Alligator mississippiensis: one gene and its partner. The protein of the gene in region 1 interacts with the protein of each later gene in a pairwise test. Links are inferred from orthologs where the notes say so. Each region holds a gene or a part of one and is shown on either strand. Other genes may lie near its edges.

Region 1 (8,291 bases):
ATCCTGGGGGGTCTGCATGCCAGCCTGAAGCTGCTCTCACCCAGCTCACCATGCTGCAGAGGGGCTGGCTGGAGCACGAGGGTGCTTCAGCAGGGCATTGGCTGGCAGACAGCCCCTGCACTGAAACAGTCTTATAACGCAGCTAGCTGGGTCAGTGTCTACACATGCATTGCTGTGCATGAAAACACTCCACAGCAGGATAATACTTGTATTTACAAGTCCTAACTTTCTGCAGAGTTTATTAGTTTCCTGTGGCCTACTAGTGCCACACATGTAGATGCTGAGATGTTTAATGTGGAGCTAATTAGGCAACTCTGCAGTTTACCTTGTGTAGACATGCCCCTAGAGGAGAAGGAGAAAGGTCTTCCAACTTTTTTTGCTGAATAGCTTAGTAATTAGGGCATCACACAAACATAGCTATGACATATCTTACATACAATTGATTCCAATAGGAGTAAAATAATACTACAGTAATTTGCTATACTAACGCACTGCATAGTTTGGATTCAGGGCTATTTACAATATAATGCAAACTGACAACAGTTGCACAGATCAGCCATCAATGAATAGAGCTGTGGCAGGGCACCTTTGGTGCCTGCCACTTTAAGGGGCTTGAGCAGGCTATAGAGCAGCCAGCAGGTGCAGTTAGGCCCAATTGGGTGGTCATCTGACTGCAAGAGGGTCCTCAGATTGGAGAAGGGCCAGGCAGCCCCAGTATAAGCCCAGGCCGTAGGAGCAGAGCTGGTAATGACATCTAGGGAGCCAGAAGAGCAACATCATCCACCCTGCAGCTCCCAGAACACCTGAAGGTCAGGGTAGGAACTATGGGGAGGAAGGAGGTTCCTGGTCCTGGGCAGTGACCTGAAACTGCACCCTGCTGGGGTTGGATGGTGTGGTGGGGCTGCCTGTGGTGGGGCACTTCCCAGGAAATGCCACACCTGTGCCTCCCCAGTGAAAGGCAAGGATGGGGTGTCAAAAAGCCTCAGCCCCTGCTGTCTTGTGGGTATCCTGTGGAGGGGAAAGGCTAGGGGAGCATACCCCGACAGAAGAGCATAGGACCCAGGTCTACTGAGTGGGGTCTGAGGCAGGGTCCAGGCCCATAGAGTGGGACCTGTGACAGGGCCAAGGTCTATCTAGCAGGATCTGAGGCCCATGGGGTATAAGGCCCAGCAGCCCAGTGAGGGGCAGAGTAGTGGCCCTGGTGAGGGGTAGAGTAATGGACAAGAGAGATGCTAGAGGCTGAGTTTGGCCCAGTGTGGGGCAGAAAGCCAGAGGCCACATAGAGTAGGGTCTGTGGGTGCCTGAAGGACTGTGCATAGGCTGGCCAGAGTAGTGGCAGCTGGAGCCATGTAGAGTAGGGTCTGTGGGGGGCTGAAGGACTGCATGTAGGACAGCTGGAGTAGAGGCCCTAGTGAGGGGTATGTGGCCAAGGACGTCTGAAGACATCTGAAGCAAAGTTTGGGCCAGAGTCCAAGTGTGGCCCAGCAATGGGGCCGGGGGAGTTGGAAGTGATTTGTGGATGTGATCTGCAAGGCATATGACATGGTGCAAGGGAAGGTTTGGAGCTGTGTATTTTGCCCTTGGCATCAGGGCAACCAAATGTGCAGCCTCCTGCTTATAAACACCTATTTTTGGAAACATCAAAGGTGTGGCAGGCAAGACAGGGTAAACTGCCTTAGACAGGTGGGTGGGCCAACAATTGGACCGGCCTCGAGATGGCCTCATCACAAGACCAAACACAGAAGTAAAATATCAGACCTACAATTTTGAAGTAAATGGGAACAAAATCCAGTTAAAATATCTTACAGTTAAAATTCAAATGTCATTGGTATACTCACCGGCCAGGAAACACAGATTGATCAGTTAAATGATCCCCTCAGAGCCAATGGAAATGGTGAGATTCATGTACAAAATCACTTAAGGGAATATAGTGTTTCTGATCTACAGAGGTACCTGAAGTATGTACATATCTGTCACGGTGTTTACAACTTTTAATTCAACATGATAGGGGGAAAACGCCTACTAAAAACAGATTTTTTTTCTCTGTGAACTACCACGCTTGAAATATATATTAGTGCCTGTTTCAGACCATACAAACAAAAAAGTACATGAAAATCGGCTGAGGTGTGGAAATTTCTTTCAGTGAAATACTGGATGTACTGTCAAGATGCTCCAGAAGGCTAGATTTTGTTTTATAAATCTAAAAGAGATGCACATTTAGTTCTAATGACAGCAGGACTGAAGAAACAACATTTTTTTCATTATTTTTGCCTAGTTTGCTGATTTTTTTTATACAGAATAAATAATATAGCAAATTAACACACATGCCAATAAAATTATATGTGTTTTTGCTTTGATCTTAAACTGAATAATATGGCCCTAGGCCCCTAGCAGATTAAAGCTTCTAGTTTCTTCTTACCTGGATAAAAACATGTCTTTTGTTGCATATGGTGAAGCACCAGGCCATCTGCCCCTACGTCCCCCTTTCAAAATCCTAGATTTGCCAAAGAATACTCTGCCTTATGTGTGCATGCTTGGCATGGCCACCCCAGTGACTGTCCCTTTCAATTTGACTCTCCCCTTCCAATCAGCAATGGAAATGGCTAATAACTGAGGGCAGTGGGCAGTGGGGGCCCAGGGGAGATCACCATCAAGAAGCAGTGCGGGAGCACAAGGCAGAGGCAGATCCAGGGGGGGCAGTGGTACAGTTGTACCCCCCTTTGATTTCTGCTCCACCCAAAGTTTAAAACCAACTGTCTGGCAGCATGAGCAGCATTTCTATTCAGGCAGCAGCAAAGGAGTCCCTTGACTTCACAGCTCATTGCAGTCTACCTGATCCCTTCTAAACTCTTTGTTCCATGGGTGTTATGGAGCCTCTCTTTTTTAATGGTCTTGACCTTTCTAGGATCAAACCAGCCTTTGTTCTGCCATTCTGCTGTCTGGGCTCCTGGTGGCACAGCTCCTATCCCACAGCTCAGCCAGCTGTTCCTAACTCATTTCATAGATTCATAGACATTAGGGCTGGAAGGGACCTCAGAAGATCATCGAGTCCAGCCCACTCCCCCAGGGGCAGGAAGTCAGCTGGGGTCATAGGATCCCAGCAAGATAAACATCTAAATGTCTCTTGAAGGTGTTCAAGGTAGGCACTTAACCACCTCCGGCAGCAGTCTATTCCAAACCTTGGGGGCTCAGACAGTAAAGAAGTTCTTCCTTATGTCCAGCCTGAAACGGTCATTGAGGAGTTTATGACTGTTCAAACTTGTCATCCCTTGGAGCACTCTGGTGAACAGATGTTCCCTCAGATCCTGGTGAGTACCCCTGATAAACTTACAGGTGGCCACCAGATCACCCCTGAGCCTGTGCTTTTCCAGGGTGAAGAGTCCCATGGCTCTCGGCCTCATATCATAAGGTCTGTTTTCCTGGTCTTTGATCATGCGTGTGGCTCTCCCCTGCGCTCTCTCAAGCTTCTCCACATCCTTTTTGAATTGTGGAGCCCAAAACTGGATGAAGAACTCCAGCTGCAGCCTCACCAAGACTGAGTACAATGGGAGGTTGACATCCTGGGATTTGCTTGAGAAGCATCTATGGATGCAAGCCAGCTTTTTGCTCACTTTACTAGCCACAGCATCACACTGAAGGCTCATATTCATCTTGTGGTCAATCATGACCCCCAAGTCCCTTTTGTCTGTAGTGCTAGCCAGTGTAGCACTGCCGAGCCTATCAGGATGCTGCAGGTGTTTCCTCCCAAGGTGGAGAACCTTACATTTTTCGGTGTTAAACACCATCAGATTCTCATCTGCCCATTTGCTGAGCCTGTCAAGGTCTGCCTGGATCACCCGCCTGTCTTCTGGTGTGGATGCTTTACCCCAGAGTTTGGTGTCATCAGCAAACTTGGCCAGTCTGCTTCTGACACCTATGTCCACATGATTGATGAAGATGTTAAATAGTATAGGTCCTAGGACAGAGCCTTGGGGGGCCCCACTGGTTTCAGTGGAGTTCTGTTTGTTTTCACTTCACTTCAGTCTGGCAGCGAACCATCCTGCCCGAGGCGCCTAGCCCATCATAAAGCTTGTGGCTAAACTGGGCAAAGGCCTGTGCCGTGTTCTAGGGGCTGCTTGAGGCTTTTCAGGCCCCCTGCCTGTCCCTCACACCCACCCTGTACCCCATACACTTGGGGGCTGGGCAGGGTTCAAATCACGCTTTGACTTTTGTGGGGGTCTGCAAAAGATAGGCCTGCACATCATGATGCCCTAATAAAATTGGAGATCCTCCAGGTTATGATTTTCAAATCTTACAAAGGGGCTCTCGTCTCTGATGGGGGGGGGGGGGGCAGAGCTCCCCAGTAATTTGAACTCTGGAGTTGGGACCTGGGGGCAGGGGTTGAGGAGTGAGGGGCCCTGGGTCGGGACTGGCCGTCAGTATTTGCAAATGGGCCCTGGCACAAAAAAAGGTTGAGCGCCCACCACTCCTCTGGGAAGGATGCACCTTGCCCTCTGCGCCCCGCTTTCCCAAAGCCCGGATCAGCCCAGGCTGCGGCTCTGAAAAGCTGCAGTGGGGCTGGTGATCCGAGCTGGCTTAGGGTCGCCACCTCGATTTGAATCTACTCCGGGGGGCTTCTGGAGTGGCAACGTGCCCATGGCACACAGCGCCAACGTGCCTGGTGACCCCCGGGCTGTCCTGGAGGGTCCCCCCTTTCCCACCGCCTGGACCCGGCCGGGCTGCGGCCGCGGGAAGCTGCCGAGGGGCTGCGGGGCGCCGCTCCTGCCCCGGCACCCCGACGCGGGCGCGGGCAGAGGCCGGGGCCGGGGCCGGGGCCGCGGCCGCAGCAGCAGCAGCAGCAGCAGCAGCAGGCGCCCGCCCCCCTGAGCCCGGGACCGCCCCGCGCTGGCGGGGGAGGCACTGGCTGCGGCGGTGACGGCGGCGGGGCCGGGGCTGGCGCTCAGTCGGGGCAGCCGCGCCGGGGACGAGGCGCTCGGGCTCGGGCTCTGCAGCGGCGGCGGCGGCGGCGGTGGCCATGGGCGTGGATGTGGAGACCATCTCCCCGGGAGACGGTACCGTGCAGGGGCAGGGGCAGGGGCAGGGGCAGGACGTGGGATCAGAGGGGCTGCGAGCACTTGGAGCGGGGGGGGGCATCCGCTGGCGAGAGGAGAGCCGCAGCGGTCAGGGGCTGCAGGGGAGCAGGTGGGTGGGCGCATCCCTGGCGTGGCTGTGGCAGGGTCTGTGGGTGCGAGCGGGCGGCTGCCCCTTGCGTGGCCAGAGGGCCGGGCTGTCTAAATGGCATTTGCTGACAGCTGCATAAATCCAAGTGTGGTGAAGTCATGCACGGGGGTAACGAGAGCAAATGCTAGCGCAGCGCGCTTCCCCGCTCAACGTGCGGGAGCCCCCAGGCAGCAGCGAGCGCCGGCTGGCTTCCCAAGCCCATCCTGGTGGAGGCATCCTTGGGGCAGCAGCAGCAAGACAGCTTGTAGGGCACTTGTCTGCTGACACCACTCCTGTTCCCACGTTACACTTTTCCACGTTACAGTTGACTCCTGTGGGGAGAGCGTGGGAATGAACGTGAGACACGATTGCAGTCGTGCAAGTAGCTGTGGTCGAAGCGAGCCTTTCACGTGCAGGCTCCCAGAGTTTCCCAAATGTGTTTCCAAAGTTTTTCATGAGCCGTTGGCTGGGTATGGCAGCAATGTTTGGCGCAGCAGCAGCATTTTGACAGGCCTGACCATTTCTCCCAGGTTTGCAATGGGCAGCTCAAGTTTAGACTGAACGTGAATCTTAGCTTATGAGATCACTTTTTCACAACCAAGTCAGGGCTGCTCTGCTCTGGGCTGGTAGCGTCACCATACTACCTCTGAAGATAAATACCATCGCTAATATACAGCTGTATGAAGGGGCCAGCTTCATCCTTGGATTACCTTTCTTGGCTCGAGCTTTTTTCTACTCTTCATTTTCTTCTTCTGCTGCTTTGTTTAGCTTTGAGGGCCAAATGATGCTCCCATTTGCCCTAAATTTGGGGGATCTCCATACATGGAAGAAGGGCAGCTATTGTAAGTGGTGCTGAGGATAGAATTTAGTCTTGGAATTGTATTATTTACCTGTGCAGTATACAGAGATGTGCTAACTATGGGAGATGCTGTTCAAATTAAGGTTATAAATATCTTTTCTTTGGTTTGTAAATCTTCATCTAAACTGCTTGATTTGAACAGTGTCATCAAACCACAATTAGTATGTACTGTTGCCCCAGATCTATTCGACAGTCATTCTGCTGTAGTCAGTGGTCTTGGCTTCCTTGGGTCTAATTCAGCCCTCATGCAAACTGATACAGGTCCATTGAATTTCTTAGCATAACACCTACTTTTACTAAAGTGGAAATTAGGTCAAAGATGAATGGTGCCATATTCCTTCTCATTTAGTTCTGAATCTAATAGCATATCCTTTGCCTGGGGCCTGTTGTGGGTGGCAGTAGCATTAGCTATGGCTAGCTACCAGCCCCATTGTTCTCGGTGTTATACAAATGTATCATAAGAAGCAGTCGCTGCCATTTTCCAGTCTAAACAGAGTAGGCAGTTTGTAAAAGGTTTGGAAACCTCTTCACTACTGATGGCTATATATTAGGAATCTGTGCTTGACTTGCGTACCGTTTCTGCTGCCCTCCTCCTACTATTTGTTTCTGGTGTACAACTGTCCGTCTCAGATCATACCTGATAATAAAGCATGCTGTGGTAGCACACGAAACTCAGACGGAAGAGACAACAGAAGGCCATCATGGAGGTTGGCGCAGGATCCTGCCTTAATATCCAACTTCTGAAGCTCCTGCTTGGGTTGTTTCTCCACTAGTACATCCCATCCCATATACTGCAGATCAGTTCTGCTGAGCCTGGGTCCTGTGCCTGCCAACTCAGTTCTGCAAATCAGTGGTATCTGTTTTAATCTGCTGCTACTTGGAAGTTTTGGATGTGTCCTGGAAAATTTCCCTGCAGCTTTGTATGCCTGTCCAAGCCTGCTGGCAGAACCTAGGGTAGATGAGTAACTCTCAACAATGGCAAGTGTTTTATTCAAACACTCTCTTATGCCTAGTGTCAGAACAAGGGGCAAAATAACCATTGTTACAGAGGGGCTTTCAAGAGCTCCCTTCAGGATATCAGTGCCTCAAGGTTGCCAATTTAAAAAATGCATTTGTATTGTATGAGAGAGGATTTTTGGGAAGCTTTCCCATTTACTAATTGCATGTGTTCTCATGAAAGTAATGTTAAATATATGGCATTTGAATTATGAATACTAACAGCGAACTTTACCACTATCCCAGAGTTTGATTTTGTTTGTGAATGACAGCAAAATGGCTCAGAGAAATTTAAGAACATGATCTATCCATTATGCTTTTTGAGACTCCCCTTGCAACAGCAGGATATAGTCCATTGATGGGGAACATCTAATGTTACAGTAAGTGTAAAATATGGTATCCTTGTATGAAAGGAAAAGGCAATATTATGAGAAAATATTAGTATTATTCCCAAAACTAAACATGGATCATAACGGGAACTCTCTCTCCTAAGCTATAGTTACCTATCTCCCTTCTGGATATTGGCCGTTTGGATAAAATGTCACTCAGACCTAAACCAGCCCTGGATTTAGTCCCCAGCCTAGCCTCTTCGTCCCATTCATTCTAAAAGCTGATCGTGAGCAGGCATGCTACCAAAGATTTTTTTTTTAATTAGATTTTATGTTTTCAACAGGGAGGACATTTCCAAAGAAGGGTCAGACATGTGTGGTACACTACACAGGTAAGCATGTTCTGTATGTTCTGTCCAAACTGTCTTGCATTTTAGGAGTTACTGGTCATTTCAAATTGGATTTTTTTTTTCTTCCCCTGCCCCTCTTTAGCCCTTTGTTTCATTGTTGATACTTTTCTGATGAATCTTCTGGAGGCGTGGCTCCCTACAAGCAGTTGGAACTACAATACCTATGGGCACTTCCTATTAAGTGTTCTAAATTAAGATTGTACAGCTCACTCTACTACAACAGGCAGTGAAGTCAAATGCAAAATGTGTAGCACAGTGAATAATCAGGGCATGTATCTCTCCAACCTCAGACCCTGACATTATTAATGATCTGTTTGATAGTCTTTCTTTTGATTTTGCATGTTGTGAAACCAACTATCCTGTGTATTTCTGTGGCAGTTACAGGACTAAGCAATGTCCACATAAATCCCCCAGATAGTGGGAAGTGAATCAGTCTCTTTTAGAAATTCTTAGGATTGGATCCTAAGATGGAGTAAATCAATAGAGCTCCATTGACTT
Region 2 (8,056 bases), about 140 Mb from region 1:
CTTGACTCCTCCTACATCCTTGTTGCCTTCTCTTCTTCTTTTCCTCCCGCACACAATGGCCATGTCCACACGAGCGTGCTTGTACATTTGTGGCACATCAAAGGCTTTTGAGGCACAGCAAAATGTACCCTGTGCATGTGATTTGGTTCTCCGGACTTCATATTTGTAGTGCAGAGCTGACTTTAGATATGGGGAAATCCTAATGTCAAAAAAAAGTGTGCAGAAAAAAAAGTGGGATGGCACATGTGGCAGCAGCATGCACCCCCTGAAACAGGAGCCTGGTTGGTCAGAGTTACACTCTGGCTGCTGGCCAGGCTCCATGTGACTGGATTGCCACCACTGGAGGTGTAGGAGGCCTCCAGGACCCCAGGTAAGCCTTCTGGGGCTGTCCCTACCTCACCTGGAGCACTTTTCCCCAAGCTAACCCTACATGCAGGGGCATGCACCAAGGGAAAAAGCAGCAGCATGAATTTGTGCCAGTGCTTTATTCCCTGCAACAATTGCTTGTGGAGACATAGCCATGATGTTCATCCACCCTCTATACTTCTGGTATTGCCACTATCATATTTCATCATAGTAATTCGGTTTTTGGAGGCTGGTGATGATGAGAGACTCCATTCTTCAGGAGACTTTAGTGTTGCCCAAAAGTGTACTGTAATAATGTTGTAGTGCTGCTGTAGTGATGATACTCCAGAAAGTATGTGAGAAACAAGATCTGTTTGGCAACAACTTTTATTGGATTGACTGCACAGTTGGGAGAGATGTTAGAAAAGGTCTTGGACACAAAATATTCTCTTTCAACTCTACTTGATCTGAAGCCAGTAGTTAATCTAGTATTTTGAAAAAGGAGTGGGGGTGCAGATAGGGGGAAGCGGAGAGCTCAGATGCAATAAGTCTTATTGGTATTGGTGCTGTGCCAAGCATGCTGAGGAATCAAAGAAGTGTAGGACTACACCACCTCATCTTTCACAACTTCTCTTTCCTTCAAAGGTTTACTACCCCCTTCCTTTTTTATGCGGCCATTTTTATTTACATAATGAAATGGGATTAAACAAAAGTCACTGTTCTGCCTGATACTTACCTTAGGCCAAGGGTGTCAGTCACCCATGCTTTAGGCCAGATCTGGACCGTAGGGCTCTTTGCAGGCCAGATCTTCAGAACAAGCAGTGGATGCAGTGGGGTCAGTGGCCGCAGCAGGGCAGCAGTGGTCATGGAGGCAGCAGAGGTGGGGCTAGTGGCTGTGGCAACAGAGGCAGCGGTGGTGGGGCAAGTGGTAGCTTTGGCGAGGCCAGAAATGGAAGCAAGTGGCTGTGTGTCAATCGATGCGTTATAAGTTGCAGTGGTGACGGGCCAAGTATCTGTGGGGCTAATGACCCTGTGTCAACACAACCTTCATTTGCCTCACTGCTGCAGATGCCCATGTCCAATAGGGACCAAGGCCCCAGATTCTGCAACAGCCCTGCTTTCTGCTGGCTGTGCCCCAACATTTCCTGGCCTGCTAGTAGATGAATGGAGTGTCTCCATGGGTTGGATCCAGCTTGCAAGTTATCTTGCTTAGGCTATATCTGCTTTTTTCCCCAGTCCTAAAGAAGTGCACTTCAGACACAGTGGCTGCATATTCTGTACATCAGTGAACAGACGTGTGGTTTTGTGTTATAGGTCTGCATGCGGTGATGTTGAGAAGACAAAACCAGTTGTTGGTCTTAGCTAGTGTTTTCTGGCTCTTTTATGCTTCTGTTGATAATATACTAAATGCACTTTGTTAAATTAAACACTTTCTTTTCACAAGCTATTTGGAAAAAATCTTTGATGTTAGCTACTATTTTCATTTTGGCATAGTGTTTGTTAAAAAGAATGCAAAACATTTCATTCTGTTGATGACATTGTGAACGGTTTTCTATTCTTCTATTTTTTGTAAATGGTATAGTACCATAGCAGAGTTGCAGGAAGTGGGGTACTTGCCTCATTTGCTGCTCAACTTGGTGAAAGGGAATGTTCTGTATGTACTATGATTTAAGGAAGGTCCCAGTCCTGTTACACATGGGAGGAAATTTACAACCCCAAACAGTCCTAATGAATTCAGTGCAGTCATTAATGCGTGCATTTATGAGAGGGGGGCCCCTACTCATTCACTATAATGCTGCTGTTGGCCTAGAATGCATTTAAAAAGTATATGTGTTGAATGCACATACATACAGTAGGATTTCTTTCTAATGTCTCAAAACTCAAAGTCAAAAGGCAATTCTGCCAAAAACTGACTGTTCCTATGGCAGATTGCAATACCTAGATATTTTGAAGCAATTGTTATAACAATTGAGAAAATTTATTCATTAGAGTAGGAGGATAGTGAAAGAAATAAACCATTTTTATAATACTTATTAAAAATATCATTCAGTCAGAGATTAAGCCTGAAGAATATCTGTCTCAAAGGTAAAAATCTTTTGAATAGTTAGCTGCTACTTAAAACAGGAGGTTAGAATAGAAACAGTTAAGCTGTGTTAACTGTTGAGGTCATTCATATAACTCCATGGCATTCCCTATAAACCCCCAGAGGTCCTTCGCTCTTCTCACATTTTGCCTCCACATTCTTCTGTCAGAGGTATATTTTCTTTATTGCTGGTAAAGCATTGAAAGTCTGATGTTTTGCTCAGTGTTATCCCTTCATTTTCCCCTTGGTTTTCTGCAAGGTCAAACACGATAGAAATGGCTTTCCAAGATACATTTAGCTGGTCTGTCTTCTGTCACCCTAACCACATGGTCTGCCCAGTGAAGCCATTGGCATTTCCTGATTGGATCATCTGTTCACACACATTGTTCTTCCTCCCTTGCCCAAATATTCACGTTGATATTGTATTGTCAAAGGTGTTTGCTAACAAGGAAAAAAAGATGATTAAACAGCCAGGTTCCACAGCCACTTTAAACAATCAGCTTTGTAAGTGCCTCATCTATCTGAAGTTTGGTCTTTCTCAGGAGTTTTTTTTGGAACCAAAAGCTCTGCTAAGAAAAGTGGGAGGCATTGCCACTCTGTATTCATGTCTTAATTCCCACCCCCCCACCAAATTATTAGTAAGTAATGCTCCTTCATATTTAAATTGCTTAACTTATTGATACATATTTTTTATTATCAACTGCACCGCTACATAAAATAGTATATTATTCAGGTCAGCTTGCAGCCATCTCTAGGCTTCTACTTTTCAGTGAGCTTGAGTTCCATTTTCTTTCTGTTTCCTTCATGTCTCCAAACCTCCTTCAGATGCTGCCTTCAGTTTCTCCTACACTAGCCAAACTTCACCGCATCCCTCAGTTGATTCTGGCGATTAAAGTTCACCCGAAACAGAGAAGGTTGTGCAATATAAATGCACACATTCATGCTGTAATTATGTTTAAAAATAAATTAGAAGCACCCAGAAAGGGGGGTTACTTAGGGGCATGAGGCTGGGAGGAGCCTCCTGGGCCTTTGCATTCTGTATCTGGGGGCTATTGCTTGCCCAGAACCACTACTTTAGACTCTGATGCAGGACCACAAGGCACAAAACCCCTGAAATACTAAGGGGTTACACACTAATTTTGGTTGCTCCTGGAGCTCTTAACCCCTGGACTGTCTGCATGTTAACACCTTAAAGTGGTTTTAAGCACTCGTTATGTGGCTCAAAGTTACGCCAAACCAGAGCACAAAACCCCTGAATCTCCAATCTGCACTACCCAGCTCCTGTTCCATTAAGGTGTGGCCACTCCTCACAGATGTGCTGCCCAAGTTGAGTCCTGCAGTATCCCAGGATCTCTCGCACCTTCCCTGTTCATAAAGCAGGACCCCTAAAATATTTCAAATGGAGGTATGAACCAATTTGCATGGTGAGTATGGGTATTCACCACACTTTGCATTGTAAGTGTGGATATTAGGTATCATAGTCATCTTTTGCAGACCTCTTAGACATAGTCTGTGGACCACCCAGGACCAGAAGTTGAAAAACCACCGCTGTAGATTAAGGGTGTGACTGCTCCAAACTCCAGGCCAGCACCAATACCATCAACATTTTTGCAGCTCATAGCCTAAAGTATAACAAGACCCTCTAACAACAGCCTGCAAGCTCGCCTAGGTCAGAGCCGGGCAGGTGAAGGCACAGGCAGAGCAGCTGGGATTGTGGTGGCCACCTGCTCCCCACCCTGCCACCCACACATCATCCCATCTGTCTATCATCTGCCCCCACCGGCTCCTGCTAGGTGTGTTAAAAAAAAAAGTGCCTGGGGGACTTAGGAGCCTAGATCCCACTCCTAGAAGCAAGTGCTACACAGCCAAGGCCTGAAGAGCTAGGCCAGCCTCTGAGGGGAGCCAGTCTTGGGGCTCAAGAGGTGGGACAGCCTAAGGGAACAGGGTTTGGGGCTGAAGAGCCATGTTAGCCTCTGAGGGAACCTGGGTTCGGGGGCTGAAGAGGTGGGACAACTTAAGGGAACTGGACTTGAGGCTTAGGAGCTGTGACAGCCTCTGAGGGAACCTGGGTGTGGGGCCGAAGCTACAGGACAACCTCTGAGAGAGCCCAGGTTAGGGCTCAAGAGGCGGGACAGTCCGAGGAAACCGGGGTTTGGGGATGAATAGGCAGGACAGCCCGAGGGAGCCGGGCTCGTGCGGGCCCCGGGGGAGCTGGGCAGCCGCCCCTGCGCCCGGCGCGGAGCCAAGAGGCCGGCTGTGCGCCGAGCGGCCGGCAAGGGGCGCCGGCCCGCAGGTTTGCGCCGCAGAGCAGCCGGCTGCGGATCACCTGCAGCGGGGGGGAGCCGAGGAGCTCCTCCCTGCCCAGCTAATCGCTTCCCCCCTCTCCCTGCCTCTTCCAGGCACTGGCGCGCAGGAGGAGGAGGAGGTGGCGACTGCTGAGGCTGGGCAGAGCCGTCACCTGCTGCAGAGCGGCAGGAGCCCTCAGCCGGCCGGGCCGGGGCTGCACCCCCCTCCCTGTCTCGCGGGGCACCCAGGCAGCCGCCGCCGCCGCAGCGCCCGGGGGCCGAGGGCGCCATGGCCGAGGGGGGCGAGGGCGAGGACGAGATCCAGTTCCTGCGGACTGTAAGCGCGGCGGGGGACCCCGGGGGCGCTCATGGCAGTGGGGGCGGGAGCCTGCATTGCACTGGGCGGGGGGCATCCCCGGCGTGGAGGCTGCGAGGGTTGCACGCCCGAGCCGCCGGGGCCGGGGGCGATGCGGCGGGCTGGCAGAGCCATGTGCGCGCCGGCTCCTGCCGCCCCCGGGCAGGGCACCCACCTCCGCCCGGCCCTGCAGAGCCAGCCCCGCGCCTCCCCCTGCCAGCTGCTCGCCAAAGATGCATACAATCATGCGATCCCCCCCAGCTGCAGGTGTTGTCCTCCCAGGGGAGGGGTTGGTGCAAGGCATCCCCCCACCCTCCATCTCCCTATATCCCCCCCACACACGCACACACACATACGCACACTTCTTTTGGCTTTTAAAACCCGGGTAAGCCTGGATCAGGACCGCAGGTTCAGTTTTATTTTTGAGTGCTGCTTTTCTCCACTCTCCTGACCCCTCTTGCTAGTGCTGTGCCCATGGCCAAGCCTGGCAAGTTTTTCTCTAACCAGTTGCCCCACACAGACCCACACAGTTTGAAGCGTGGGGGGGAATCTGTCTCCACGAGACATGCATCCACACTGACACTGCTTAGACCACGTTTCTTTTTTCTTCCAAGTCCAGTCTGGTTTTCAAAACGTTTCGTGGCTTGCTTGTGTAGCAAAGCAAGAAAGGAAAAAGGAAGCCGTGTAACTGGTGCATGTTCAGATTGGGGTGGGTTTTTTTTTTTGCAGTATTGTGGAGGCTGGTTTGGATGTACCCTGTTTACTTCCAGCCGGAAACCTTCAAGAATAAAGCTGTTCCTTAAATATAGCTGAATTTACAGCAGCGTATGTTGAGCGTATGGTCATTCTGCCTCTGCTCTTCCAACATGGCAAAGCTATAAACTTTTATTTGCCTTAGGGTTATGTGGCACATAGTGTAGTACCAGCAAATATCTTAAAAAAAAAAAAAAAAAAAAAAAAAAAAGACCTCCCCTCTTCCCCCCCTTAAATCTTTCTCAGAAAGAAGATATGGCTTCACAATGTGTGTGAGTTTGGTTGTTGTTTCCTGCTGTTAAAATTTGATCTAAATATTTGGAAGACTTGTGTATTTACAGGCTTACTGCAGGTTTAAATGTTAAGCATAGCTCATGGAGATGTTGTTATCTGAATACTTAATAGGGAAACAGAAGCAGTGTGCATACTAATAGCAGGCTGCACATATAGAGTAATGTTAAACTCCAGCACTTGACAGCAGCAGCACGTTACGTAAAACAGCACTTCTGATAATGTGTGTCAGGCTGGTAATAGAGGTCTGGCAATCTCAGCATTGGATTATTGTGTAAGAATCCTTAGAATGTTTCTCTGATAATAAAAATGACCTTGAAGAAGGTAGTAAACTGGAGCAGTGGGAAATTTTTGGTGTTGGGGTTCAGACTTGAAATATAAAGGGCCTAAGATATATTTCCAGTTTCCTGTGAAGTTTGGAATTTCCCATCTAAAATTGTTTTTGTGGGGTGATTTGCCTTAATAGTTCATCCGTCTTCCCACTACCCTCTACATTTTAGTTTAACTGAATTGGGAATATTTCACTGAAGAGAGATGGAAAATCACTTGTTTTATAAAACTTTGAATGCAGTTTTTGCCTTTGTGTTCATTGTTTGAATTTGTGGACTAATCTCCCCCGGGGTCTTTTATACATGTAACTGCTTATGCAGCATTGATAAAATACTCAGTTTGCAAACTGATTATTAACTGATAATGGATGTGTATGCATTTTTTAAAGACAATTAGTCATTAGGGACAGAGGGATACTCTAACGCTTTGGTAGATAAAACATTCTTTCACTTAAGGACCCCAATCTATGATCTTGGGGGGGGGGGAAATGTTTTATGATGTTCATTTGGGGCTAACTGTGAGAAATACTACATTTAAACTGCCATTCTTTGCACATGCTGTTCTCTATAGGTTCTACTAAACTCCTGGGAAAGGCTGTTTTTTCAACTGGGGTTGGAAAGATATATTTATTGTAGCATGGGAATTTATTATGTGCAAGTAATTTTTCACGTTAAAATTTTAATATTTATTTACATTTAACTATTAAGCAGTTTATATACAGTTTATTTTTAGAGTGTGTGCCTTTCTACACCCTGCTGTGTCTAGTTTTCTCTCTCTCGCTTGTTTGGTGCCTTTTTTGGCCAAGATGGCTGAATGCAAGCCCTCCTGCAAATCTGCTTCTCTTGTGGATTTTGTGTTTCTTTTGGCAACTAGCTGATTCTGATAAATCACCTTTGAAGAGGTAGCTGTAACTTCTTGTTTCTTTAGGTCTTTGGAAGCAGCAAGCCTTTTTTTTCCAAGTATTCTTGCAATGTGGGCTGGAATGCTGTTTCTGTCCCATTAGGCTAGCCCAAAGGAAATGTTCAGGAGTCCTATAAATTTTGCACCTTAGTATGGACAGAATTCAGGCTCATTACGTTGCTGAATATTCCATTTGGAAATACTCTTATACAAGAGAGATCATTTTTGTGCCAAGCACCAGATGCCATGTACTGGCTTCCCCCTGAAATGCAGGCATGGGGGTGGAAGTGACTAGGAGGCTCTTGTAGCTCCTCCCTGCAAATGCAAGTACCTTCTTGGTGCATTTTTTATATTAAGAAAGAAAAGAGAATGTAGTGTACAGATTAAAACATCTGCAAGCAAAACTATAAATTGGTTATAATTCCTATATGAATGACATGATTTTCTTTTACTTGGACATATCATTTGGCTGCAGCAAAATCAATTCAGGCTTTCAGGGAGGGAGAACAGAAAATCCTTTAGGCAGATTCTTTCCATAATAGATATATGGAAAGTCTTATTTTCCTTGGGAAACCCCTCATAGGAAAGACCTTTGTGTGGACCATGTCTGTTACCTGACAGTGGACTTAAATCAGTCTCAAACTTTCAAGAGACACTAGGTAATTTTATGCTTTTTATCGGATAAAGATGCTCTCAGACTTTCTGGCACCTCCA

What was found. The genes of interacting proteins can lie anywhere in the genome.
Region 2: the proteins of FKBP1B (region 1) and RYR2 interact in binary tests that used the Homo sapiens proteins (3 or more experiments, as listed by UniProt). The link is inferred for Alligator mississippiensis from reciprocal best matches to the Homo sapiens genes FKBP1B and RYR2.

Annotation. Positions count from the first base shown.
Region 1 is NC_081824.1:15,854,591-15,862,881, reverse strand, and holds the start of FKBP1B (peptidyl-prolyl cis-trans isomerase FKBP1B), read left to right. Parts: upstream 1-4,920; 5' UTR 4,921-5,014; coding exon 5,015-5,051; intron 5,052-7,727; coding exon 7,728-7,775; intron 7,776-8,291. UniProt on the Homo sapiens protein: Has the potential to contribute to the immunosuppressive and toxic effects of FK506 and rapamycin. PPIases accelerate the folding of proteins. It catalyzes the cis-trans isomerization of proline imidic peptide bonds in oligopeptides.
Region 2 is NC_081824.1:154,220,395-154,228,450, forward strand, and holds the start of RYR2 (ryanodine receptor 2), read left to right. Parts: upstream 1-4,777; 5' UTR 4,778-5,002; coding exon 5,003-5,050; intron 5,051-8,056. UniProt on the Homo sapiens protein: Cytosolic calcium-activated calcium channel that mediates the release of Ca(2+) from the sarcoplasmic reticulum into the cytosol and thereby plays a key role in triggering cardiac muscle contraction. Aberrant channel activation can lead to cardiac arrhythmia.